Linked DNA regions of Canis lupus familiaris. The protein of the gene in region 2 purifies or fractionates together with the protein of the main gene of each other region. This does not show direct contact. Links are inferred from orthologs where the notes say so. Each region holds a gene or a part of one and is shown on either strand. Other genes may lie near its edges.

Evidence for each region. The genes of interacting proteins can lie anywhere in the genome.
Region 1: the proteins of GBA2 (region 2) and ILVBL purify together in Homo sapiens (co-immunoprecipitation; 3 studies listed by BioGRID and IntAct, counting the BioPlex papers as one, with this or other methods). This does not show direct contact. The link is inferred for Canis lupus familiaris from reciprocal best matches to the Homo sapiens genes GBA2 and HACL2.

Annotation. Positions count from the first base shown.
Region 1 is NC_049241.1:47,426,068-47,430,016, reverse strand, and holds the start of ILVBL (2-hydroxyacyl-CoA lyase 2), read right to left. Parts: upstream 2,807-3,949; 5' UTR 2,416-2,806; intron 2,117-2,415; 5' UTR 2,107-2,116; coding exon 1,972-2,106; intron 1,894-1,971; exon of another isoform or gene 1,409-1,893; coding exon of another isoform or gene 1,274-1,408; intron 799-1,273; coding exon 597-798; intron 475-596; coding exon 347-474; intron 258-346; coding exon 119-257; intron 29-118; coding exon 1-28. UniProt on the Homo sapiens protein: Endoplasmic reticulum 2-OH acyl-CoA lyase involved in the cleavage (C1 removal) reaction in the fatty acid alpha-oxydation in a thiamine pyrophosphate (TPP)-dependent manner. Involved in the phytosphingosine degradation pathway.
Region 2 is NC_049232.1:52,566,077-52,569,585, forward strand, and holds part of GBA2 (non-lysosomal glucosylceramidase), read right to left. Parts: intron 1,609-3,509; coding exon 1,517-1,608; intron 1,218-1,516; coding exon 1,102-1,217; intron 1-1,101. UniProt on the Homo sapiens protein: Non-lysosomal glucosylceramidase that catalyzes the hydrolysis of glucosylceramides/GlcCers (such as beta-D-glucosyl-(1<->1')-N-acylsphing-4-enine) to free glucose and ceramides (such as N-acylsphing-4-enine).

The DNA.
Region 1 (3,949 bases), on a different chromosome or scaffold from region 2:
TCGATGGGCAGCTCCACAAACACTGGGCCTGAAGAGGGGCAGGGAGGCTACTGAGCCGGCCATGCCTCTCTAGGCCCAGGCCATAGGGCCTGACCACTGCCCAGCACCCCTCACCTACCTGGGGTGCCTGACTGGGCAGCAGCCATTGCAAGCCTCAGAGTGGGCACAATGTCCCGCACCCTCCGCACAGAAGCACAAAACTTGCACAGTGGTCTAAACAGGGACATCTGATCAATGGCCTGGAGTGCACCCCGGTTCTGGTGGAAACAGAGGAGTCCAGGGAGTTAACACATTGAGCTCTCTGAGGCTCCCAGGGACCCCCGCCACCCACCCAAGGACAGGGCACCTGCAGCAGCGTGCTGGCGGCCCCACCCAGAAGCAGGACCGGGGACTGAGCTATCTGGGCATTCTTCACTGCAGTCACTGTGTTGGTGAGACCAGGGCCTGCTGTCACTGCTGCTACGCCCACCGTCCCTAAAACACAGAATCCATCACAGCCGTGCCCACCCTCCTGGCCACATCTGAAAAAATTCTGCCCCTCAAACACCTCCTATCCCATTCTCCCCAGCCCTCAGCCCTCTCTGCTCTGCCCTCACCGGTCAGGCGGGCCACAGCATCAGCGGCAAAGACGGCTGTGACTTCATGGCGGGTGTCCACCACACGGATGCCTATCTTCTCACAGGCCACCAACAGCGGGGAAATGTGCCCACCGACCAGTGTGAAGAGAAACCGCACACCATGGGCCCTTAGGACAGCTGCCACATTCTCCCCACCATGCTGGATGCTTGCCTTGTCCACCTGCACCCACAGGGAAGAGCAAGATTATCAAGCACCAGGGCAGGTAGGGAGAGGACAATCTTGCTCCCCCAAGGAAGGAGGACAGGACAGAGTCAGTAAGAGAAACTTTGATCTTGGTTAGGCATCTATCATACTATAGGCCAGGCCCAGAGCAGGACATGTCATCCCATCAGATTCTCTGGAGATTATATCGTTTTGCAGCTAGGAAGACCAAGACTTGCCCAAGCAATAGTCCAAGTCGCTTAGAACCAATGCTCTCAAGCACCCCCTTGTTACACTGCCTGTCTCAGGGGCGGTGGGGCAATCAGGGAGAGGAGAGGGAAAGTGGATCCAGAGAACCCTAAGTAGTTTGACCAGGGGCCATCTGGCAGGATACCAGAACTGCCTCCCCTCCAGGGCCTGGCACCCTGACTGTGGATTCTAGCCTGCTAGACTTCCTCCCACTCACTAGGCAGGCAGGCCAGCTACCAAGTACCTGGCACGAGAGCAGCCTGCTGGCACAGATCATGCTGAGGCTTCCCAGACCCGGCCTTCTCACAGCCCTGCACACTAGAGGCCTCTGCCTTAAACCTCCACAAATCCTCAAGATTAGTAGTAGCCTTGCTCCCATTGCTCCTGGTGAAGACAAGAGGAACTGAGGAGGGAGTTGGGGGGCAGGGGTAGATAGATTCCTGAGGGAGGAGCCAAGCAGTGCAGAATGAGGTCTGTCAACTCTTTCCAAAAACCATCACCTATGGCAAGTTACCTCCAAGCTCTCTCGGGAAAAGAAGAGAGAAACAAAAGCAACTACTCAGGGAGGTGTTGAGAGGTACATGACAACTATCACAGGCCCCCTCCAGGGCCTGCCTTCAGCCCACTGTGACCACACCACATTTAGGGAGCAGTGCTCTGTGAAAAGGGCTCCCGGCCGCTGGGGAAGGAGGGGGAAGGGCGATGAGCGCCGGGGCAGCAACTTGCAGTTATCTCTTTCTAGAGGCAAAGTCCAGGAGGGCCTTGCCTGCAGCCTGGCAAACAGAGGACAGGGAGGTGGATAGAATTTCCCGACCGAGTCCCCTACATTAAGGAGTCGGGCCTCACTTGCTCCGCCTGCAAAATATGTGAGTTAGAGGGAGGGCCGGGAGCTCGTTCTTTCTTTGGCTGCCCCCAGCCCGCCGCTGATCTGTGCCCCCGCACCTTGTGCACCAACTGATAGAAGAGCCCCAGCCAGTGCGCGGCGCCCAGCAGGGCGGCCACCAGCGTCCCGCAGGCCAAGAGCAGGAAGGAGGGGAAGAAGCTCCGGGCAGGGGCGGCGGCCGCAAGGGTCTCCATGAGGCGGCACCTGAAAGAGAAAGGACAGCGCCAGCGAGCAGCTGGACGTAGATCTCTCTTCCGGAAGAAGGTAACCCCCTCCCGCACGGATGCCGGGCCACGCCTCTTCGTCCCACTTTCCGCGCAGCCAAGCCCCTTACGCCTCACGAGGCCACGCCCCCTCGAGAGCCAGGCCACGCCCCTCGGGCCGGGCCACACCTCCTGCGGCGCCAGCCCCTCCCCCTCCCTTACATCACCGCCGCCACTGAAACTAGCCCACCACAGGTCGAGTGCGGCCTGAACAGCCTCCAGATAGCTTTACACACTTACCTGCTTCTCAGTGGTTGGCGGGAAGCCCCGCCTCTGTCACACCTGGACCCGAATCTCAGCCCCAGTGGTGAGCCCACCCACCCCGCGTGTAGGTCACCCAGAAGGCGCAGGCCACGCCCCCAAGGTAGCGTGCGTGCCCCTCTCCTAAAGCCAGACCCCCGCGCACTGCGAGCGCCTGAGCTCGACCCCGCACCGCGGGCTGCGCGGGTCGAGGTCAGATCGCATCAGAAGGCGTCTCCCGCCCTCGGGGCACTTTGGCCTTCACGTTCGGGAAATGGCGCTGCCTCGAGGCATTCGGCGCCCTTCGTGTCACATGACCCGGGCGCGCGGCGCGGGGGGGGGGCTGGGCCCGGAGCTGGCGGTGGCGCTTTCACTCGGATCCGCTGCGCCCTTTGGTCCGGCCCGACGCGCGTGCGCAGAGCCGTAACCGGGCCGGGACAACCGCCAGCGCCCTATCCCTGCGGGCCGCCTCGCGCAGGCCCCGCCCCCGCCTCTCATGGGCTCGCCCCGCAAGGTAACGCGTTTCTCGATGAGACGCCACGCCCCTCGGCGTTCTGCAGGAGCCAAGCCGCTCCGGAGCCGACTTTCCGCGGCCTTCCACTGGCCTCATGTTTCAGCCTGTGGTTTTCGGGCCTTCCGAGCCCGCCCGCTTTCACACCAGCGGTGCCGAACGCCCCTGAACGTCCGCCGGACGCGCATGCCGCAGGCCGCTCCCCGGAACCCGCCATCCGGGACCACGTCCCCGACAAGCCCCGCCCCTCGCCCTCCCGAGGCCCCGCCCCCAGCCCCGCCCCGCGCTCGTAGGCCCGCCTCTGCCGTTGGCCCCGCCTTCTTTGCCGACCCTTGGGGTTTCTCTATTCCGAGTGCGGAGGTGTGGACGTGCAGAAGCCGGAGGGCTCTGGGTCCAGCCGTCCGGCCTCTGGAAAATGATCTCCCCATCAGCGAAGGGGAAGTAATTTTGGAACTGAGCGCCTTGCTACCTGACCCAACGAATCGTGCCATTTTACCAGTGGCTCGCATCCCTTGTGGACTTCTGAGATCTCCCTCTGAGGATTCCCCCCAGTTGGTAATTTTTATCTTCTGTTGAATCATTTTACTTTTCAGCTCACCCATTTAAGAGAAGAAAAGAAAACTCCGTTTGCCCTACATTTTCCACCTATTACTGTACGTTTGCAACTCTTTTTAGCAAAATTCCTCCAATGAGTTATCTGTTTGCTGTCTCCGTGAGCCCCCGGCTATTCCCTCTTGAACCCACTCCATATAGACTCTTCCCCGCCACCCTATGAGAGCTATTCAGGAGTATGCCAACAGTCTCCAAACAGGTCCCTCTCCTTTCTGTCTCTCATCTAACAGCTCAACCCGACTCTCCTTGCCTATGATTAACAGGATAAAATGCAAACTTCCTAGAAAGGCCTTCTAGGTCCAATTAAATTCCCAAAGCCAAAAACGAAATAGTGATCATTACTTTTCATTAAGCAGTTATTACATAGGAGGGGTTGTTCCCTACCCTCTTCACATTAACACATTTAATGCT
Region 2 (3,509 bases):
GCTTTTTAACCACATTGAGAGCTGGTTCTGAATCCCAATGCTTCCATTTGCCAACCACATGACCTTGAGTATGTTACTAGATCTTGTTGGATCTCAGTTTCCTCATCTATAAAATGGGCATAATAATGGTACTTACCTTGTAGGAACTGTCTTTAAATCTTAAATATCACACAAAAATGCATAGCACAATCTCTAGCACATGTTAAGCATGCAATAATTACTTTAACTCTAGAGTCACAATTCTGGAAGGCACTTCCCCTCAGGATACCTAATGGATGAGCCAGAGAGGAAGCTTGGGGCACTGGGCAGGGCTGGTAAACCTGAACTAGGAAGGGCATTGTCATTAATTGGACTCAAGGTCTGCTAGTCATTTTTTCTTTGAAGATGAGCTGAAAGCTGGAGGCATCTCTCAGACAGGAAATGGAAACGTGGCTGACACCTCCACCTGTGAGGTCGCTAGAGAGATGATGAAAGGTAGACCATGTGACTCTGGCAATCGAGGGCCCATGTGTGATGAAGGGACAAGGGAAAAGAAGTAAAGCTTCAGAAAAGGCTAGAGATCTATGCTGGGGAGAGGAAGGGCTTCCCAGGCCCTCAGCCAGGGATACCTCCAGAGGAGTGGTCACCAGCAGAGGAGCTGATCTCTAGCTAAGGGTGGCAAATCAGGGTGAACAGTGGGTACTCTACACACCTTCCCCCCCCATGTATTTAGAGACTTTGGGCTTTTTTTCCCTTCTGTCTTACTACATGTTCTTTTAACCAGGTTATATGATCTAGAAATTTCCTGCATCCTCTGTGGCTGGGTACTGGCAAAGCTAGTGGAGCTGGGGAGTGAAGGACATAGGAGGCATTTAGTAGAGAAATGGAGGGCACAGGGGTGTTGGGGCTGTTTATCCTTTTGAGAAACGTGTGCTCTTGGAGTATCTCATTCCTAGTACATCCTGGCACAAGGGTGGGCACCTGGAAAGCATCTTAAATATACTTACAGGAATGAATCATGTGCACAGGAGCATATCTAACTTCTACATCCTACATGGGCCAAGAGGCTCTTCCTGGGCTGGGGTACTGTTCTGGACCTGTCCCCCACCTACTGGTTCTCACCTGGTCAGCGATGACTGTCCGGTGCTGGTACATTCCAGGATTAAGCTGCCAACGACAGAATTGGCCTCTCCAGCCTCGGGTGATAGTGCCTCCCCCGATGCCACCCAAAGGACAACCTAGAGGTAGAATCAGGATGGTTAGTGGGGCATCGGGAGAGGAAAAGAAGCCCATTATTCACTTTCTAGACTATAAAGATGAGTTTCTCAAAAAAAGCAGGGATAGCAGTTCAACACATTATACACTTTAAACTTACACAATGTTTGGTATCAATTATAGCTCAGTAAAGCTAGGGAAAGAAAACCCTAGGGGATAGGGCAGTTCACTGTGGGTAAGCTAGAAGCCTCTTTGCTTAGCTCTGCAGCAGACCCAGAGTCTGGGCCCTTTCTGTGCAGAGCAGAGCTGGGGTGAGGCTCACCATAGATCTGTCTCAGAGGTACACAATTGATGAGGTCGATGAAAGGTGTCTTCTTCTCTACCTGGGTTTTCCGGTACCACCACTGCAAGTACCTGAGGAGCAAGAGGCAGTGTGAGTGGAAGGGGCAGTGGGCCATACCTCCCAGGCTGCCATCACCTGCCTTTCTCCAGGTACCTAGTTGTAACTTCCCATTAAATGTCTGCAGTGGACCCATTCCCTTCCCCTCCAAATCTCTCCTCCTCTCTACTTCTCTAGGGTTCAGGGTCCCCTCCTCTTCCCAGCTCACAGCATGAGACCATCTTTGTTTCTCCTCTCTATTCTCAGGAGCTTTCTTTTTTTTTTTTTTTTTTCCCCTCAGGAGCTTTCTGACCTTGCCTCACCCCTAACTGCACTGCCACTACTTAAGGTTAGCCTAGGAGTTTTTGTCTGATGTGCTGAAAGAGCCAGTTTTGGTTTCCCGACTACCCCCCACCCTCCATAGGCACAGTCCTCTGGAATAATTTTTTTTTTTAATGATTATTTTTCTTCCTAACTGTGGAAGGTGAAAATCTATAGAATGTACCAGATGGAAGGAAAAAAATCCCACCCATAGACAACCAGTGTTTATATTTTGGGGCATATCCTTTTTTTTTTTTTTTAATTTATTTATTCATGAGAGAGAGAGAGAGAGAGAGAGACAGGCAGAGGAAGAAGCAGGCTCCATGCAGGGAGGATGTGGGACTTGATCCCCGGACTCCAAGATCACACCCCGGCCCGAAACCGCTGAGCCACGCAGGTGTCCCAGGGGCATATCCTTTTAAATCTTTTTTAAAAGTTCAGCATTTAAACTAAGCTTTCTGAGTCTACTCTCTCATAATAGTCTAGTAAAAATCTAAAAAATCCCTAATTTTTCCTGGTCTTGTCACAGCTTTGTGTCTAATAGACAAATGATTCTGGTTGGAATTCAAGGCTCTGACACATCTGTTTCAGCCTAACTTCTAATCTTAAGTCCTACAAATCCCCATTCAGAATGGATCCTCGATAAGCAACCCTTGCCCCACCAGACTCCCAATTTCACTGTCCTCCCTGCCCAGCCATTGTATACCCATTGTTCAAGCATACCACTTGTAACCATGTATTTGGGGTAACTCCTCTGAGCCTCAGTTTCCTTGTCTACAAAATGAGGTACCTCCTGTCCTACCTACTTCATGGAATGGTTGAAAGAGTAAATAACATAATAGATAGGAAAGCCATAAGGTGGAGTATCTGTCTTGGGTATGATCGTTCCTTGTACATACACTATCTGAACTCCCAATCAGACACTGTCTTGTTATTTCAGTGTTCCTCACAGGAATCTGACATACTTTCAAATTCCTTGGGGAAAGGGATATTGACAAAGACTAGTTGGTTACCCATAGCTTCAAGCACAGGGCAGGGCACATGGTGTGTATTTAGTAAATATTTGCTGAATTTACCAGGGAGTGCACAAACAATGAAGCACTAGACAGATGAACATGAAGGGGAGCAAGGGGAGGGGAAATGTGATTATAGAATAGGAAAGGTACATTCTAGGAGCAGGGGGAGGAGGAGGGAAGGCAAAGGATGAGATGATGAAAAGGCAGAAGGTCCACTCTGCCAGCTTAGAGGAAACTGGACTTTGAAACTAGAGGCCAGAAAGAATTGAGGATAGGAGGGAGGGTATAGCGGGGATTAGGGCAGTGAGGGAGAAATGCAAGATATGGAGATAGGCAGAACAAAGCACAGAACAAGCACTCAGTAAATACTTATTGAATAGACTCTAGCTGGAAGGGAGAGCAATCAAAATTGAGTTCTTCCCACAGTGAGGCCAAGAGAACTCTGGCTTGCTGCAACTCCTGGTTAGAGTACCCCCAGTCTGGCATCCTCTTAGGGTCACCTCTCATTCCCTTAATTTAGCAGCTGGCCATTCCTGATCTATATGGCCTTCTCCATAATGCCAGTCCCAATTGGAGAATTATCATTCAGAATTGTTCCT